Ovis aries: one gene and its partners. The protein of the gene in region 1 interacts with the protein of each later gene in a biochemical or structural test. Links are inferred from orthologs where the notes say so. Each region holds a gene or a part of one and is shown on either strand. Other genes may lie near its edges. The genes, in order: SHANK1, WWTR1, YAP1 and CACNA1D.

Evidence for each region.
Region 2: the proteins of SHANK1 (region 1) and WWTR1 interact in a test that uses a peptide from one of them, tested with the Homo sapiens proteins (2 studies listed by IntAct, with this or other methods). The link is inferred for Ovis aries from reciprocal best matches to the Homo sapiens genes SHANK1 and WWTR1.
Region 3: the proteins of SHANK1 (region 1) and YAP1 interact in a test that uses a peptide from one of them, tested with the Homo sapiens proteins (2 studies listed by IntAct, with this or other methods). The link is inferred for Ovis aries from reciprocal best matches to the Homo sapiens genes SHANK1 and YAP1.
Region 4: the proteins of SHANK1 (region 1) and CACNA1D interact in a biophysical measurement, tested with the Homo sapiens proteins (2 studies listed by IntAct, with this or other methods). The link is inferred for Ovis aries from reciprocal best matches to the Homo sapiens genes SHANK1 and CACNA1D.

The regions. Positions count from the first base shown.
Region 1 is NC_056067.1:56,534,047-56,538,840, reverse strand, and holds the start of SHANK1 (SH3 and multiple ankyrin repeat domains protein 1), read left to right. Parts: upstream 1-1,484; 5' UTR 1,485-1,600; intron 1,601-3,218; exon of another isoform or gene 3,219-3,271; intron 3,272-4,794. UniProt on the Homo sapiens protein: Seems to be an adapter protein in the postsynaptic density (PSD) of excitatory synapses that interconnects receptors of the postsynaptic membrane including NMDA-type and metabotropic glutamate receptors via complexes with GKAP/PSD-95 and Homer, respectively, and the actin-based cytoskeleton.
Region 2 is NC_056054.1:239,214,398-239,219,248, forward strand, and holds the start of WWTR1 (WW domain-containing transcription regulator protein 1), read left to right. Parts: upstream 1-1,498; 5' UTR 1,499-1,753; intron 1,754-2,156; 5' UTR 2,157-2,162; coding exon 2,163-2,593; intron 2,594-4,851. UniProt on the Homo sapiens protein: Transcriptional coactivator which acts as a downstream regulatory target in the Hippo signaling pathway that plays a pivotal role in organ size control and tumor suppression by restricting proliferation and promoting apoptosis.
Region 3 is NC_056068.1:6,217,408-6,221,754, reverse strand, and holds part of YAP1 (transcriptional coactivator YAP1), read left to right. Parts: intron 1-2,325; coding exon 2,326-2,519; intron 2,520-4,347. UniProt on the Homo sapiens protein: Transcriptional regulator with dual roles as a coactivator and corepressor. Critical downstream regulatory target in the Hippo signaling pathway, crucial for organ size control and tumor suppression by restricting proliferation and promoting apoptosis.
Region 4 is NC_056072.1:47,263,175-47,267,521, reverse strand, and holds part of CACNA1D (voltage-dependent L-type calcium channel subunit alpha-1D), read left to right. Parts: intron 1-2,721; coding exon 2,722-2,843; intron 2,844-3,627; coding exon 3,628-3,948; intron 3,949-4,347. UniProt on the Homo sapiens protein: Voltage-sensitive calcium channels (VSCC) mediate the entry of calcium ions into excitable cells and are also involved in a variety of calcium-dependent processes, including muscle contraction, hormone or neurotransmitter release, gene expression, cell motility, cell division and cell death.

The DNA of each region.
Region 1 (4,794 bases):
TCACAGACCCCACAGACAGCTCCATCGGGGTGAGGGGTGGGGGCAGAGGAGAGGGTGGAGATTGGGTGGGGTCCGAGAAGCTTTCTCCAGGAGGTGGAGTAAGCAGCTGCTGGGCTGGGTGCACAGAGAGCTCTGAGCGTTGAGAGCTACTTCATCTCCCGCCTGGACCACTGCAGTCCTCTCCTCCTGCCTCTCCTCCTCCTTCCTCCAGAGCCCCTCCAATCCACGCAGCCTGCCGCAGCCAGAGCAATGCTTCCAAACCGTAAATCAGATCACATCACTCCCCACTCCCCTGCTCCCCCCCAGCTTCCCATCATGTGAGGGAGTGAAGCCAAACCTTGGCCTCAGCACAGGCCTGGCCTGCCCAGTCTGGGGGTGGGCAGGGAAGGGTGGGTCCTTTGCACCTCTGCAAACTCATCACCCCCACTCCCTTCACTGCCCCCCTCCAAGCTCCAGCCACACTGATCTCTTTGCTACTTCCTGAATGCTAAGCTCCTTCCCGCTTCAGAGCTTTTGCACCAGCCTTTTCCTCCTTCTAGAAGGCTCTTCTCCCCAGCTCCTTCTCATCACTGAGGTCTCAGCTCAGAGAGGCCTTCCTCGGATAGTTTATTCAAACACCCCCTTTTATCTTTTTGGCTGAATCAAGACCAGCCTTGTCTTGCTGGCTTGTTTACCTGTTTGGTGTCTGTCTGTCGCCAACGAAGGCAGGCATCCCTGTTCATGGCTGTATCCTTGAAGCTAGGACAGGGCCAACCCAGCACATAGTAGGTACTCAGTCAATTGAACAAGGAAAGGAGCCTTCCCTGGCAGCGGGGTCACAGCTCAGCCAAAAGACTGAACCCTCCATGAATGTGTTTAAGTGGAAACTCTGGTTTCCTGTGGCCCTGGGGGTGGGGTGGGGGTGCCTGGCGACCAGGGTAGAGGTGATGAGGGCAGTGGTGGGGAGGCTGCAGAGGCAGGAGCAGCAGGAGGCTGGCCATGCCTACTCCATGCCAGACCCGTGAGTCATGTAGGGCTTCCCCAGCTTCAGCCAGGCGGGCAGTGCCAGGATCGCAGGGCCCACTCTTCCAGGGGGGACACCGAAGCTCAGAGAGGGGACAGCTGGGCCTGCTGGAGGTTACCAGCGCAGCAGCGGCAGCAAGCAGAAGCTTCTGGCTCCTGGCACGAGCAGGGCATCTGCCCTTAGCTGCCGGGAGCCCCAGGCTGGGACCTTGGAAATCAACACAGCCAGACTTTTCCATTTTCCAAGAAAGCAAAGGGCAGTGTGACCTTGGGCAGGCTGCCCACTGCCTCAGAGCTCGGGCCTCTCTTGTGCACCCATGAGGAGCCTGGGGACCCCTCACCGAGAGCTGATGTCCCGGCCGAGAAAAGCCTCATAAACCATAGAAAGGGTACATAACCCCTCTCACTGCTGGTGCCGACACACAAGCAGCTGTTTTCTCCCCAGGCCCAGCTGCTCACCACCTGGGCTGATAGGGGTGAATCCAGAACTGGGTCTCCTGGGGCAGCTGGGCTGGCACCTGTTCCCGCTCATCCTGTGGCACCCCAGAGCCTGCAGCTGGACACGCACCCAGAGGCTGCCTGGAACTGCCCTCCGCAGGTGCGTGGGTTCCAGCTGATGGCCCCCAGGGGAGCTGTTGGAGCTGGGAGAAGGGTAGGGGCCTGGGCTGTGGCAACGCAATCACCGCTGCCCTATGCGATCAGCCCGGTCTCTGCAGGTGTGTCCCACACGCCATGCAGAGATGGCTGGGGGGATCGCGTGTGACAAAGAAAGATATGCAGTGGAGATATCACTATGGAGTGGCCAGTAGTGAACCCCAGCACACAGTAGGGGGACTTTGAGCCAGGCCATCTGTCTCTGATTCTGGCCACCACCTCTTGCTGGCTGGGTGACCGTGGGCAAATTGCTTAACCTCTCTGGGCCTCAGTTTCCCCCTCTCGTCATAAATGGGGATGGTGCAAGTCCCTAGTCCGGAGGACTACGGTGTGCAAAGTTGAGGAGTAAACCCAGCACAGAGCCGGGCACACAGGAAGTGCTCAAGAAATGTCAGAGATAATTATCGGGAAGGAAGCGGTGGTGCAGGGTCGTGCCTCTCGATGGGCGTGTGCACACCTGTGTGATGGCCGGCCAGGGCACGGTGGGTGAATGTGATGGAGACAAAGCACACGTCTCCCTGTGGTTCTGTGTCTCTGTTTCAGGGTTGCGTGTGAGCTGGAGCTCTGAGCAAGCACAGCGGGCTGCGTGCCCGTGTGTGGGGTGGGTAGACGCGTGTGCTCTGCCGTGTGCATGCTCCGACACACGGGTGTGATATGTACATGATGTAGCTGGCTGTGCTCATGGTAATGTATCCTGTGAGAGCCCGCACGCCCTGGAGAAGATGTGTATGTGGAGACGTCTGCAGGGGCAGGGCTGGGGAGCGACTCGCTGCACCTGTGCCTTGCGGGAAGGTGTGTGTGTGCTGGGCGGACAGGACAGAAATCTATAGCTCTCACCATCCAGTTTGGGGGTGTGGAGTCTAGCAACGAATACTTAATTGCACCCTACTGTGTGTAGAGGTGGTGGGGGCGCCCTGGGAAGGGGCGGTCCTGGGGGGGTGCGGGGAGAGGTACCCTTAGGGGGGCGGAGCCCCATCGCCGGGGTACTGGGGCAAGCAGGGGTGGAGTCAGGGTTCGGGGATCTGGCGGCGGAGAGGAGCGGTGGGGGAGGGCAGGGGAGGGGGCGGAGCCGGCGGGGGGGGATGGGCGAGGTTTGGGGGCGCTGGGAGGGGCGATGTCTCCTCCGCCGGCTCCCGGAGGGAGGGGAGAGGGCGGAGGGAGGGAGAGAGGGAGGGAGAGAGAGGGAGAGTCCGGGTGAGGGAGAGACAGCGAGAGCGAGAGAGCGAGCCGGGAGGCAGAGGAGGCGCGGAGCGGGCGGCGGCGGCGGCGGCGGCGGCGGCGGCGGCGGCCTGAGGCCGAGGAGAGGAGCCGGCGAAGACGCGGCGCCCGGAGCCGGCCGGACCGAGCCGGGGGCGGGCTAGCTAGGAGGGGCGCGGCGGCCGCGGCGCAAGGGGGGGCGCTCTGCGGATGGCCAGGCCCGGCCCGCGGGGGGGGTGAGGTCCGCGGCCCCCCCGCCCGCCCCCCCGGCCCCCGCCCGCCCCCTCCCCGGGCCCGCTCGCCCTCCGGGGCGGTGGGGCATGGCCTGAGGGTCCCCCGTCTCCGGGGGGGGGGGGGGTGGGGGAGGGGGAGGGGCCGCGGGCGCCGCCGACCGGGACTCAGCAGCCCCGCCAGGCAGGTAAGGGGGCCGAAAACCGGGGGTCTGGGTTGGGGGGGGAAGCGCGGGCCCGGGGCCGCGGGCGGGGGCGGGGGCGCCCTGGACGTCCTTGGCCGAGCGCCGGGCTCCCGGCCCGGGTGTGCGGTGGGGGGCGGGGGTGAGGAGGGGAGCGTTGCCCCGGGCGACGCCAATTGGGTTACGCCCGGGTCCCCCGTGCCCCGTCCCGGATCGCGGACTTGCTGGGGCCATGCGGCCCCGTAGCCCCCTGCCCGAACCCGCCTCCCCGCGCTCCGGGGCCGAGGGTTCGGTCGCGGTACCCGCCTCCCGGCCAGCCCGGCCCGGCCACTCCCCCGCCTCGCCCATCGCGGCCCACCTGGGCCTCCTGGACCCCTCCTGCGGCCCCACCCCTCGAGGCCCCTCGCCGAGGTCATTCCGGCGCCCACACCCTCCAGCGGGGATCTGAGCCTCGGCCTCCGCCGCCCCCTTCGACCCCCTGTGGTTTCGGCTTCTCCTTCCAGACTCGTCCAATCCCCTCCCACCCTTTCACGAGCTCCCCGCATCCCAACCCGGTCCCCGCTTCCTTCCCCACCGGCCGGCGCGCCCCCTCGGCTCCCGCCCCCGAGTCCTGCTCCTGGGGGCCTCCGCCCCCTCTCCGCGGACCCGGGCTCTCCCCCACCAGTTTCTCGGCCCCAGCCCGGGCTCCCTCTGCCCGCCTCTCCCCTCCTCTCTCCGCCTCCATTCATTCTCCCGGGCCGGCTCTCGGCCACGCCGGCAGCCTCCCCCCGCCGTACCCCCGCAGCCTCCCAGGGCACCCCCTCTCCCCCCTTTCTTCCCCCCCCCCTCGCCGATTCCTCAGCCCGTCTCGGTACCAGCTGCGTGCCAGCTATTCTTAGCCGCGGAGCGTTTGATTCATGCCGCCCCGGCGGAGTGTGCCCGCTCCCTCCCTCGGGGCCTGAGGGGGAGGGGCCCGAGCTGGTCCTGGGGGTTGGGGGCAGCCGCACGCGCCGGGGGACCCGGCGAGCTTTGCTTTCAGGAGTCCGTGGAGGCTGGGGGAGGGGGTCAGCCGGGGTCAGCAGAGGGGGAGTGGCTGCCAGCCCCAGGTCTGGAGGTGGGAGTGGAGTCGCCGGGTAGGAGAAGGCCAGGGGGTCTCCGCCAGGGCCAAGTAGGGGAGGCTCTGCTGGGTACCCAGAAGGGGAGGGGGCCGTGGCCACGCTTAGGGGAGGGGGTGACCAGCCCATGGCTGGAGGCTGGCTCGCCCACAGTTCTTGAAACTCTCCTCCTCCCCCCGCACACATTTTGTCTTCCCTCCCCAACCCCCCCCCAGCCCATCCCCACTCCCCCAAAGTCAGCAGTACCCTCCACTGCTTCCCATCTCCATGGCAACGTGCAGGAGCCGGGCCTGGTGTTGGGGGGAGGGACCAGACCAGACATTCTGGTTTCCGGTGCTGGGGTGGGAGGGGGGGAGAAAACTCGGAAGAAGGGCCCCATCTGGACTCACCCTTATAAGACCAATTCAGGGGGGAAGAACAGTGGGGATCTGAAAA
Region 2 (4,851 bases), on another chromosome or scaffold:
AGTCTGTGAGGAGCACACCCTCAGATATAGATAATGAAGAAGGGGGCTCACATAGGTGGCTTCTGCTCTATTTTGGGCAATGACAGGGAGCAGCCATTCAGGGAATGTGCTCTGAATACTCCTACCCTTTCCATGGCAAAACTACAGGATGGCCTTGTCTTTCCCATACATTTTTCTCCTTCACAGCAACTCCAGATTTTAATTTTGATCTACTCTTATAAAAATGTGGAGGCACAATACTTGCACTTTCATTTAACAAAAAGGCATGTAGGCAGGTATGTCTGCAAAGTGCTTTACATATATTGTCTCATGTGACTTATTTCATAAGCTTATGTTTGAATCCAGTAGGGTGGGGCGGGGTAGGGGTTTTCTGAAGCCGGATTTATCTCGAAGCCACTCTCCCCTTCCCCTCGACGGGAGGGGACAAGGAACAGAAGGAACTGAGCTGCTTCGGAGGGCCAGGCCGCCTCCTACTTCCCGCAGCTGTCTTGCCAGGCCAGACCTAGAAGTAGGGGGTCTCCAGCCCACGCCCAGATCCAGTCGGTGGGAGGGTGGGTGGTTTTTTCCGGGTCACTGGCGCACCCTCTCTACTCCCTGCCACCTGTTCCGGTTCTATCCAGGCTCCAGGCTCTCTGGAGGGCGTCAGGGACATTCCAATCCTCCCACGACCCGCAAGGATGTCGCGAGAGAGGGGGGCCCCTTGCTGTCCTTTTCCAGCACCGAAGATTTGCCCAGGTTTCTTCTCAACCCCTGGTGACCCGAGTTACCCTGGAGAGGAGAGAAGAACTGATAAATGGTTTCAAGGTTGGTTTGTTTACAGTGAACTAGTTGGCGAAGTCGCATCCCTAGCGACAGAGGCACTTTCTGGGCACTGTCTGCGCACGAGCAGACAATTGAAAGCCAAACAGCCGAGATGCCTCCTCGCCAGACCAAATATGGTCACATGCAGCCTCCCGTGGAAAGGCTGGCCTCGCTGGTGTCTCCTCGCGTCGGAGCGTACCCGGGCCCGCCCTTAGGCAGAATCACTGATCAATGCCGCGCTCCTGGCTCCCGGCCTCGGTACCCGGCACGAAGAGAAGGCGCGGCACCCAGGACCCGCCCTTCCTCTGTTTGGGTCCCTCACTCGCGTGTCTTCCGCCGCCCCCAGCCTGGTTTCGGTCCACAAGTCCTTGATTAAACAGGCTCGGGCCACTTTCCCTTTGATCCCGCCCCAAGTCCGTGGTAAACTCAAAGGAATGCAGATCCAGGGTTCCGCGAGAGAGGTCAGCCAGTCCAGGAGGAGTGGGCGGGGGGCACCCATCTCCTCTTACCCTGCAGAGTACCCAGCACGCCCAGGGTTTTCTGGTGCCAGGGTGGAAGGAGGAGGAGGAGGAAGGGGAGGGACGAGAGAGGGTAGGCTGGCTCCGGACTTGGAGGTCATGCATAATTCAACAGCTTAACTTTCGGGCCCGCCTCTTTCCTGGGAGTGGGAGTTTGCTCCAAACTTTGTTTATGGGACAGTCCGGGATCCGCGGCGGCCGCGCTGTCTGCTTCTCCGCTTCTCCGCGGAGCGCGAGCGCCTGAGGCCAGTTCGGGGGATGTGAGAGCCGAAGCCTCTCGGCTGCCAGACACCGAGTAGGGTCGGGATTTGCCAGCCGGGCCCCAGCTCCAGCCCTGCAAGCTCGGGACGCAGCCGAGCGACCCAGGCCCAACAGCGAGTTCGGGCGGGACGGCGGCCACCGCACGCCCAGACTCGGATTCGCTGCGCGTCCAGGTAGTGCCCGCTGGCGCGCGCCCGTTCACCCCGCACCACGCCGGGGCGCCCGGCTCCTCGGGCTTCCCGAGTGGAGACGTCTTGGAGTTGGCTCGGGTTGAGACTTTGAGGGCGCTGCCTGCTCTGGAAAATTTCGACCTGTCCTTAGACACCAGCAGTTTCATTAGCGTCTCCAGTGCAGTTAACTCCCAGCAGACACCCCCTCCCCCTTTCCTGGTAACTTCTTGGCTTCAAGAAAGTTGCATAATTCTGGAGGCCAGGAGGGACCCCTCCCCCACCCCGCTAGTCTCAAGTTCTGGGTGTCTGGGATCCCGAGGCGGACACCTATCTGTCTCTTCTCTCTGTTCTCCTCTTCAATTATCAGACCTTCAATAAGAAGCTAATCTGACCTCCTTTCTCCTAGCAGAAGATGAATCCGGCTTCGGCGCCCCCTCCGCTCCCGCCACCCGGGCAGCAAGTGATCCACGTCACTCAAGACCTAGACACGGACCTCGAAGCTCTCTTCAACTCGGTGATGAACCCCAAGCCCAGCTCGTGGCGGAAGAAGATCCTGCCCGAATCGTTCTTCAAGGAGCCTGACTCCGGCTCGCACTCGCGCCAGTCGAGCACCGACTCGTCCGGCGGCCACCCCGGGCCCCGACTGGCCGGCGGCGCCCAGCACGTCCGCTCGCACTCGTCGCCCGCGTCCCTGCAGCTGGGCACGGGCGCGGGCGCTGCGGTCAGCCCCGCGCAGCAGCACGCGCATCTCCGTCAGCAGTCCTACGACGTGACCGACGAGCTACCGCTGCCCCCGGGCTGGGAGATGACCTTTACGGCCACTGGTCAGAGGTACTTCCTCAAGTAAGTCAGCCTGGAGCAAGGGGGGCACACAGAGTCACAATACCCAGGCCGCGCGCGCTTGTTCTTGTGCGTGTTCGTGACGGTGCGTGCGTACGTGCGTGTGTGTGCCTGCGTGATAATGTGTGTCGTTGAACGGCTTTTTTTCCAGAAATCTGGGAGACTGGAAGTGGGAGTTAGTTTTAGGGTGTTGGAATTGTAAGGGATCAGAAGCTGGGTCTGGTAGAGTTCATCCAGGATCCGGGAAGTTGCGAGATTTTCAGGACATGAAAATTCTTCGAGGTAGAAGAAAAAAGCACTTGGGCAGAATTCTCGTGAAACACATAGATGCGTTGAGTCTGGAGTACTGATACTGGAGTACTTTGACTTCTGGACCCAAACGCTACTCCCTTTCCGGCCCACTCCAAGTCAGGTAACTCCTAGCCTGGTGCACTGCGATGTGACATCAAGATAGTTCTAGAACAGAACTGAGGCTTGGGGAGGAGAGAGGAACTTTTGTTACTGTAGGTGGTCTGCTGTCTCTCCATTGGAAAAGGGAACACTGACTTAGGCCTTACAGCTCCCCGTTCGGTGACGTAATAACCATACAGCACCCCCCAGTGATGTAATTAGGAACTGCGTGGTGAAGTAGCCGTGGGCTGGACAAATCAATCGTGTGGAAATTGGGTCAGGAGTTCTATTGTGTTGCACTCGGTAACCTAGAATATCATCGATTGGGAGCTGCTTTGTCGTATTTCCCGACAGGTTGTTCTGACTTTTCCATGTAGTGAATTTTACATTCGAGTGGAATTAGACTCCACAGGCATAAAGAAGGTTGCTTCAATTGTGGTACCCTAAAATAATTATATTCTGGAGGAGAAGCCAAGCTAGAACTTGAAACATAACCAGTGAGGTCATGGGGGGTCAGGCCATCAGTGGCCTGGATAGAAGTCCTGCCAACTGGAGCACTTGGTTCAGGATTGCCTGCACTGGCTGACTGTTGACTGCCGTGGTGGAAAACTCCTCTTCTGAGAACTTGCCTTAGACTTTATTTTAAAGCCTACATATATATATATATATATATATATATATATATATATATGTATGTATAAAATAGAGTAGCCTTAGTTTAGAAGTTATGTGCAATTTTAATAAGATAATATTTGATACTTTGATTGCTATGAGAGGACCTGATAACAAATACAGTGATGGATGAAGGCTTATAATAGCCAACCATTTGACTCATACTGGTAGCCAGTTATTTCTTCTCCATCCCAAAGCTGTTGACATCTTGTGCAAGAAGGAGTTCTTTGTTGCTGGTGGGGTTGATGTAGCGCTGAGAAGCCCTTGTCGGAAACAGAGTTGCTGATCATTCTAGTCCACAACTGGTCTTCTGGTGAATGAGTGCTAGTGTGGACACATACTGAGTGCTTTGATCTAAATAGTTGGTGGAATTCAAGTATGTTATGTAATCGCATGACATTTTTCTAAGTGTGATGATATTGTTCTGAAGGATGGCATTAGTTTATATACTGTGTGTATGTGCAAAGTCATTTCTGACTCTTTGCAACCCTATGGACTGCAGCCTGCCAGAGTCCTCTGTCCATGGGAATCTCCAGGCAAGAATATGGGAGTGGGTTGCCTTGACCTCCTTCAGGGGATCTTCTCAACCCAGGGACTGAACTGGCATCTCTTGTGTCTCCTGAATTGGCAGGCAAGTTCTTTACCATTAGCTCCAGCCCTTATATACTATATAAAGGTCTGAAGCAGCATGTTGTGTTGCTTACTTAGGTAAATGCAGTTTTGAATATGTTATTGTGACTTTTGTAGAAATGGACTTAGTAGTACATACAAATAGAAAAAGACCCAATATTTTACAATAATTTTGGAAAATAGTTTTGGTCCCCAATGATTTTTGAACTATGTTTATATATATACATACACAAATATATATGATATGTGATCGGTATAACTGGTTGCTAAAAATATGAAATAAGAGCTAGTCTTGCCTAATGTCTGAGGAAAGCTAGGGGAAAAGATCCCTAAACAAAAGAAAAACAAAAGGATTCTCTTTTATACACATTTTGAATGATTGGAGTAGCTCAAAAATATGTTTGTGAAAAGTGGAAGTTAGCCTTGGGTTTAGAAAAAATTAATCTGCTACATCTGCCTAATCCCCCCAACTAAAGCCACTCCTTGGCTTCCCGGGTGGTTCAATGATGAAGAACCCACCTGCAATCCAGGAGATGAGGCAGGAACCATGGGTTTAATTCCTGGGTGGG
Region 3 (4,347 bases), on another chromosome or scaffold:
CATTGGGAAGCTGGGTGATGGCTACATGAGGATTCATAATATATATTTTTTCTGCTTCTCTGTGGCAGTTATTTTTCAAAATTTTAAATACATGCTTAAGAGTATAAAACTGTACTCCTAAATAACTCATGAGTTAAATGGAAATCAAAATAGAAATTGCAGATATTTGAAATAGAACAGTCCTGAATTATATGTACGATTTCAAATGTGTGGCATGCCAGAAAAGCAGTCCTTAAAGGTAAATTTGTTGACTTAAGTATTCTAAGAAAAGACTTGACTAAGTGAGTTCAACTGAAGAAGTTGGGAAAAGAGCCCTGGCAGTCCAGTGGCTATGACCCCCTGCTTCCAAAGCAAGAGGCGTGGGTTCAATCTCTGGTCAGGGCATTGAACTAAGATCCCCCATGCCATCTGCCATGGCCAAAGTTTTTAAAAGTTAGAAGAAATACAGGAACAATAGAGGGGGAAAGTAAAAACAAAAATGTTGTGACTTTATATTAATATCTCAGTAGGTTGAATTGAACTAAGGCATTCTCGGAGAAGATTGGTCTGTAATTTTCCTTTTTTCTAATATCCTTGGTTTCAAATCAATGTTATACTGCCACATAGAAGAGTTGGTAGTCTATGGGGAAATTGGTAGGATTTCTGTATTGCCATATCTTTTAAAAAGTTAAATTTCTGCCTCAGTGCATAATGAAAGGGCTTAGAATCATTTCAGTGTTGTTTCCCCACACAGATTTTATGCCAAGTTGCTGGTCTAGGCACTAAGAATATATGTGCGGTTGGGATTCTGTCCCCGCTCCTGAGGCACGTGTTTGAGAGAAGATGTGTGTGCTCAGTCGCTTCAGTCGTGTCCAGCTGCTTGCGACCCTGTGGGCTGTAGCCCGCCAGGCTTCTGTCCACGGGATTCTCCAGACAAGAACACTGGAGTGGGTTGCCATTCCCTCCTCCAGGGCATCTTCCTGACCCAGGGACTGAACCCATGTCTCTTAGGTCTCCTGCATTGACAGGAGGGTTCTTTACCACTGGTGCCACCTGGGAAGAGAAGATATAAATTTGTAAATAAAAAATGACAGGTGAGAAATGTCAGTAGACAGAGTCCCAAGGCAGTGCCCTGGAAGAGGTTTGTTCAGGTGGCCTCCAAGAGCTGTACCTGTGGTCCAGCCGAGGACATGTGAAGATCATCACAAGGAGTTTGCTTTGTGGCCAGGGTCTAGTAAGTCATGAGCACCACCAGTGAATCATTTCAGATTTTGGTAGCAAGGTTGATGAGAGAGAGCCATCTATGATTTTTCTTTGTTTTAGTGTCTTCGTAAGGTATTAGGGATATGCTGGTCACAAAAGCGTGAAGTTTCCTTCTTTGCTGTTCTCTGCAAAAGGTTGTAAAAGATTAGTGTCATTTCTTCAAGTGTCATATGTATTAAACAGTGACCTGAAATGTCACCTTAAAAAGTTGAATAGATGTCTGAAAAGGTAATGTATCATTCTTATTGCCATTTTCACGTAATAAAACTTGCATCTGCTTACTGAGGCTAACACAATCCATAGTTTGATCAGTGTTTTATCAGTGACAGAAATTCACTATTATAAGAATCCAATCTAATTGTCAAATGGTGTATTACAGGTTCAACTCAAAAAGTAACTGACTACCTTGGCTGTGTGGGGGGTACAGTGGTGTTGAATGAGACCAATCTGTGCCGTCCAGATGTAGGCTTTATTTGGAGCATGCATCTAACCTACTTGATTTGTTAGTTAGCATTGTATTTAAAGATTAATAATGAACTTTACTGCTTAGATTGCTTTCTCTTAGTTAGTTTGAGGGATTTATTTTTAATTGGATATATATTTTATAATAAGCGGTGCATTCACATTATTCAAACTTGAAAAGTTACAAAAAATGTCTCTCTTGAACGTCAGTTCTTTAGTCACCCAGTTCCCCAGCTACAGAGCCAGCAGGTGTTGATTGCTTCTTATCTGTCCTTCGATTGAGATTCTCTGGATATGCATGTAATATATCAGTACAGCCCTCCTCTGCCTGTCCTGTTCTGTACTGTGCCTTTACCTTTGTGTGCCTTAGACTTCTCCGCGCCATTGCCTGTTAGAGCTGCTGCTTGTTTCTTTCATCTTAAGGCCGCATACTACACTAATGACAAGGATGTCTGTAATAATAAGAAACTGATGTACCCTTTGTACTATTGGTGGGTTTTTAGGTTATTTCTGATCTTACTACAGAAGAGGCTATGTTGAATGTCCCCATCATGCTTGTGAATAACAAAAAATCCTTTTTCTTGGCTAGTTTTTTAGAACAGATCTTCTGTTTCCTTGCAGCCATGAACCAGAGAATCAGTCAAAGTGCTCCAGTGAAACAGCCACCCCCGCTGGCCCCCCAGAGCCCACAGGGAGGAGTCCTGGGTGGTGGCAGTTCCAACCAGCAGCAACAGATGCGGCTGCAGCAGTTGCAGATGGAGAAAGAAAGACTGCGACTGAAGCAGCAAGAACTGCTTCGGCAGGTGAGGCCCCAGGTTAGAGACCAGCCTTCCACTCTTGGGGCTTTGTTTTCCTACGTGAAGCTGGGTGTGTTTCATTTTGGCATTTGTTGGTTACAGAGGAATGTTGTTTCTCCAAAACTAGAGTGACACAGAAACACTCTGTCCAGCTCTGTCCCTGTCTTAGTTTCTCTGCTGGCCTCTGAGCACGTGGGCTGTCACTTGTAAACCTGTGTCACACAGAGGCGTTTGGGCCATGTTCACTGCAGTCAAGCAGAAGGCAAAGGAAGCAAGGGTGCTTTTCCTCAAATATACAGGCATACCTCGGAGATATTGCCCATCAGTCCCAGACCACCACAGGAAAGCGAGTATTACAGGAAAGTGAATCACATGAATTCGGGGGTTTGCTGGTGCATATAGACGTTAATGTTTATACCATACTATAGTCTTAAGTGTGTAACAGCGTTATGTCTTAACAGTGAACATTTTTTAAAAGTACTTAACTGCTGAAAAAATGCTAGCCATCATCTGAGCTTCCAGTGAGTCATCTTTTTGCTGTAACATCACAGATCACTGTTATAAATAAAATAATAATGAAAAAGGCCAAAATATTGTGAGAATTACCAAAATATGACACCAAGGCGTGAAGTGAGCAATTGCTTTTAGAAAAATGGCTCTGATAGACTTGCTAGTCGCAGGGTTGCCACAAACGTTTGATGTGTTTTTAAAAAAAAAAATGCAGTGTCTGTGAAGTGCAATAAAACGAGGTATGTCTGTACAGGGAATTGCAGACTATTTAATATCTGAAGATTTCGCTAAGGAAGAAACTCTGGAACATCACTTGGGGAGAAACATCTTTTACTTTAAACAAATTATTTGTCTAGGAGAATATACCAGTATGATAATATACCAGTATGATACCTCTCAAATGACAGCTGTGTTTCACTATTGCTGAATCTAAGATGTGTTTTATTTAAAATGTAACACAGGCTATCCCAAGTTTAGAAGATCCCCAAGTGCCTTAAAATTACCTGCTTGTGGTTGTTTTTTCACGTTGGGAAGGGCAGATTCTAACATTAGAGAGCTGGAAACCTTTAGGGCCATTTCTGTCAGTTTTCTTTCAGAAATACTGGTTTTTCTGTGCCATATCATCTCAAATTTCAGAGTGACAAAAGCTAAAGTTTAGATTTTGGGGGTATGATCTTAGTATATTTTAAAATTTTTATATAAATATTTTGGGTAATAAAAACACAATGTGGTTTTGAAAGTGTACAAAGTGAAAATAAAATCTCCTTTTCCCATTTCTCTAGTTCTCTTTTCTGGATGTAAATAGCTAACCAGTTCTTATACTTGCCCTCACCCCCGCCCCAGACATTCTCTTTATTTACAAACATGGAATACAAGTGCCTCTACTACTGCCCCGCCCTAAATCATAGCATACTAAGAACAGGCATTAAAAATACCATTATAGGCTACATTTTTGTTGCCAGGATGTAGGCATTTGAACAAGGTACTGTTTTCTTCATGAGGGTTATATTTTGATAGTGTCACTTGAGTGTTAATGGAAATAGATGAACTTGATACAGTGATTGAACTCTGATTTGAGGTTTGAAGAACTGGTACCCAAGAATTAAACTGAGCCATGAGGACTCCAGGCCGCCATACTTGTAAACTGAGCTGTCAGTAACCTGCCACTATAATCTGGTGTGGTTGGCCCTAAAAGAAGAAGGAGAATGCCAGGATATGGTGTCATGAAGTGGTCTTGAAAGAAGTATTTCCTCATCTGCCTTTAAGAAAGTGGAAAAAGGAAGCACATTAACAAGTTTACTATACCTCTGACAGACTTTTAACATATTACTATAAA
Region 4 (4,347 bases), on another chromosome or scaffold:
TTTCTTTTCTTCCTCATCCACGTGCCACATGATAGGGCTGGAAGTGCTCCAGTGCTGAGAACAGGGAAGGCAGTGTGGGCTCCATGGTTGCACAGTTTGTAGCACTTGATGCGGGGCTTTCTGGGCGCATCATCATTGCCTTTGAGCTTGGGGTCTGCCCTGATGGGTAGGCAAGTCCTGCACCATGGTGTCGACAGGCTCACTCCCCAGATGGGCCTGCCTGCTGAGTGGACTTGAGCCCAAGCCTCTTACCAAGGCCCAGGGCTCCGAGGAGCACGTGAGGGTTTGTGGTGCCCATGCCTCCTCCTGTCTCACCTCACTGCCCTCTTCTCCCCTACCTTTGCCTTGGTCTGCCAGTGCCCCTGCTGGGGCCTTGGTGGTGACCGCTAGGGTAGGCACTCCCATCCCAGGGCCGGGGAATCCTGTCCTGCAGAGAAGGGGCAGGGGCCAGCTGGTTTTTGGGTACATGTGGCATCACCAATACTGCCAAGAGAGCTGGGTTACCCCCAGTGAGGACCGTGGGCTGGGGAAAGAGATGAAGCAGCAGCTCCTGCCATCTCCTGGCTGGGCAGCTTGATTTTGGACACGTGGACATTTTGCTGATGGATAAGGGATATCCACTTATGGCTTTGCTGAGGAATGAGGTGTATTTTGGGGTAGGACTCTAATCAGTCACCAGAAATAAATGAGACACATCGGCTCTGAGTCTGCCATCTCTGTGCATAGTAAGTTCAGCTGGGTGGTGCCCAGGCCTGTCTCTCCCCAGCTGTCAGTGTCCTGTGGGCAAGTGCAGTCAGACCCATATCCATGGTTAATATTTAATTTCACAACCCCAAACACAAGCTGCTGAACAGAGCAGTGCTGGGCTCTGTCAGTCCTGGATGGCGCCTGTGCAGGTGGGGCTGAGCCCCGGGCCCCATGAGTGCCAATGCCCTCCTGTGACCGCCTTTTCTCCCTTGGGTGGTCATGATCGTCCGTGAGTCAAGGACCCTGAGTGGGCAGCTGGCTGCCCTCTTTATTTATAAGTGTGAATAGGTAAAATGCATTGTATTTGCTCTCCTGCCCATGTATTCAGATCTGGGGCAGGGAGACCAATGGAATTCCTATGTGCTCAGCTCCAGAGAGGTTGCTCTCTGCATTAGGGCTGGTTGTGCAGAGCAAATAAGATGACAGGCATAGGTGGATCCCTTTTCAAAACTGAAAGGTGCTCTCTGAATGGTGGAGGTGGTAGTTTTCCTTTCTTGGCTTGAGCCTCTGGTCCCACCACCTGACCCGGGAGGAAGCTAGAGGTGGTGCTAACCTGGGAACCCTGTCCTTCTCTTAGAACACTTGAGTTTGGCCCCGGGCAGCCTGTGGGAGGAAGGCCATCTGGAGTGGATGGCAGGTGTCCATGTTCCCCAGAAGCAGCTAGACCAGGAGGCTCAGCAAGGCTGCATGGTGTACAACAGGCCTGCGAGACAGGCTGGTTGTCTGTAGGGTTTCCCGCCTGGTTGAGCAGTGGCTGGCATGGGCTATCTCTGGTATCCATGCACTTTTGGAGCCAGACCTCCACCAAGAGAGCTCTGCTGCTTCACGTGCCTCCCAGGATGCCCACAGGGGCTCCCCAGGCTGGTCCCTGCAGTTTTCCAGTGTAAGAGTCAGAGGTGTGTGGAGTTGTGCTAGGGTAGGATAAATGCCCTGTGAGCTTAGAAAGCAGAGTTCAAGAAAGGAATGTCAAGGTGACTCAATGCTGCCTTGCAGGCCACCAGTAACAAGAGGTGTCCTGGGGAGCCCTCTGGCCTGTGCACAGGGGCCCAGAATTTAGACTGATCTCCTGGGCCTGGCACCCTGGGGGGCCTCGAGCCTGGATCACCTTGTCATCACTCAGCCTGTCTAGAAGCCTCTGTTTGGAGTGGCTGTTAACAGGAAATGCATAGGTGCTCAGGCATGTCTGACTCTGTGCGACCCAATGGCCTGTAGCCCACCAGGCTCCTCTGTCCATGGGATTTCCCAGGCAAGAACACTGGAGTGGGTTCCCATTTCCTTCTCCAGGGGATCTTCCTGACCCAGGGATCAAACCCGTGTCTCCTGCGTCTCCTGCATCGGCAGGCAGATTCTTTACCAGTGCACCACCTGGGAAGCCTGTTTGTGGTCTATTAAGGACAAGCAGCCACATTCTTTGTAGTTCAAGGTGTCCTTTCCTGTGTGTTCTGTCTTCCCGGCTAGGGAAGCTGGGTCTTTGCCCCACAGGGGATCTGCCTGTTATCTGGCTGAGCTGTTAGGGCAGGTAGCAGACAGAAGGGTGGTCACAGCCTGGGAGCACCCACGTGACACTCCGGCCCCAGGGATGCTCGGGAAGAGGAGCACAGGCAGTCGGCAGGCACCTGTGGGTTCTCCAGTGAGGTCATGTATTTGACCTGAGACGCTGCGTCCCTGCCACGTGCAGGGCCAGGGGCCTCGAGTCAGAGCATGGCTCTCTGGCTCCTCCTGAGAGAACAGCTGTGTGGGGGCCGAGACATCAACTTGCTGTTTTTGGAAACGCCCCTCAGTTGGGCTGCTTTCTCTTCCTGAACTTCTGAGACAACCCCCCACTCCCGCCACCATGCCTGGTGCTTTTCTCTGGATGCCTTGCTCGCTTCCTCCTGGGCCCCCGCTGCTGGACATCCAGGTGGGCTGCCCCGACCCCCAGAGCCCAGGGCCTGACCGCTGGTTCCGGCGTCACACGTGTGCTTCACTTCTCAGCCCCGCGCAGGTCCTCCTTCAACTTTGAGTGCCTGCGCCGGCAGAGCAGCCAGGAGGAGGTCCCGCCGTCGCCCGCCTTCCCGCCCCGCACGGCCCTGCCTCTGCACCTGATGCAGCAACAGGTGAGCCGGCCCCCCGGGCAGCTCCAGGGAAGGGACCCCAGTGTCCTGAGCACATAAACACTAGCTGCCGCCTCAGAGTTTCTGTTCTGGTCTTTCTGCCAACCTTGTCCCTTTTCGCCTTCCACTTTTTACATTAATTGCTGTGTCCTACTCTGTTGTGGATGGAGGACAAACTTTGGGAAGGCCCCAGGCATCACATGCCACACACTAAGTGGGCATGGGGGTCCCTGTGGGCTTGTGTGTGCTTCCCTTGGGTGGTCCTGGCTTCTGACTTGGCCACAGACCTGGCCTCACTGTCCCCTGTGCCCCTTGCAGAGAAGGATGCAGGGCAGGCCTGCCGTGGCACCGCTGTAGGTGGAAGAAGCAGGCTTGTACCCGGTAGTGCTTCTAAGCAGAGTGCCAGCTGCAGACGAGTTGCCCGAGAGAGAACCAACCCATTTCTCTGAGCGCTAGGTGCCGTCAGCTTGCCCTAAGTGCACTTCCCTATTCGAACCCAGAGTCATTCAGGTGGCGTGTTTGTACTCCACGACTTGTGTGTCGTCTTCATGCTTCTAAGCAATTTCACGAATAACTGATTACCACCTGGGGATCAAGAGATAGACTGGGGGCAAAAGAAAGCACAGTCTGCTAGACAGCCAAGTTTTTACAGCCAGTTCATTGAATTACTCAGAGTGCTGTATCCTTTGGAAGCCCCTATAAACCAGGGCCTTGAGCCTGGCCTGTTCTGAGGGCACCCGAGGCTGGGACCCCTGAGGACCTCACCCCGCTTCCTCTATCTCCTCAGATCATGGCAGTCGCCGGCCTAGATTCCAGTAAAGCCCAGAAGTACTCGCCCAGCCACTCCACCCGGTCGTGGGCCACCCCCCCGGCCACGCCGTCGTATCGGGACTGGACGCCGTGCTATACCCCGCTGATCCAGGTCGAGCGGCCAGAGGCCCCAGACCAGGTCAACGGCAGCCTCCCGTCCCTGCACCGCAGCTCATGGTACACGGACGAGCCCAGCGTCTCCTATCGGACGTTCACACCAGCCAGCCTGACCGTCCCCAGCAGCTTCCACAGCAAGAACAGCGACAAGCAGAGGAGTGCCGACAGCCTGGTGGAGGCAGTGAGTGTGGCTGCGAAGTCTGCATGGGAGGGACGGTGGCACCGGGGAGGTGGTCCTGAGGGTGGGTAGGCTCCAGAGCCAGGATGCCTCTTCTGAACCTGGATAACCACCCACTTCTTAGCAGCAAGGATGGTGCTTAAAGCACAAGTATAAAAACATCATGCCAGCCACCAGGGATTGGCATGCTGCAGTCCATGGGGTCGCAAGAGTCGGACATGACTTAGCTACTAAACCATAGAAACACCACCCTTGGTGGGTTTCATCAGCTGGCAGCACCTAGGATTGTGTATGTTAGTCCTAGAAATATGACTTGTTTATTCTGAAACATTTGTCCCCCCTGGGTTTCACTCTTGTTGGGCCATGTGCAGTGTTTGAGCTCCTTTAGATCCCCACTTACCT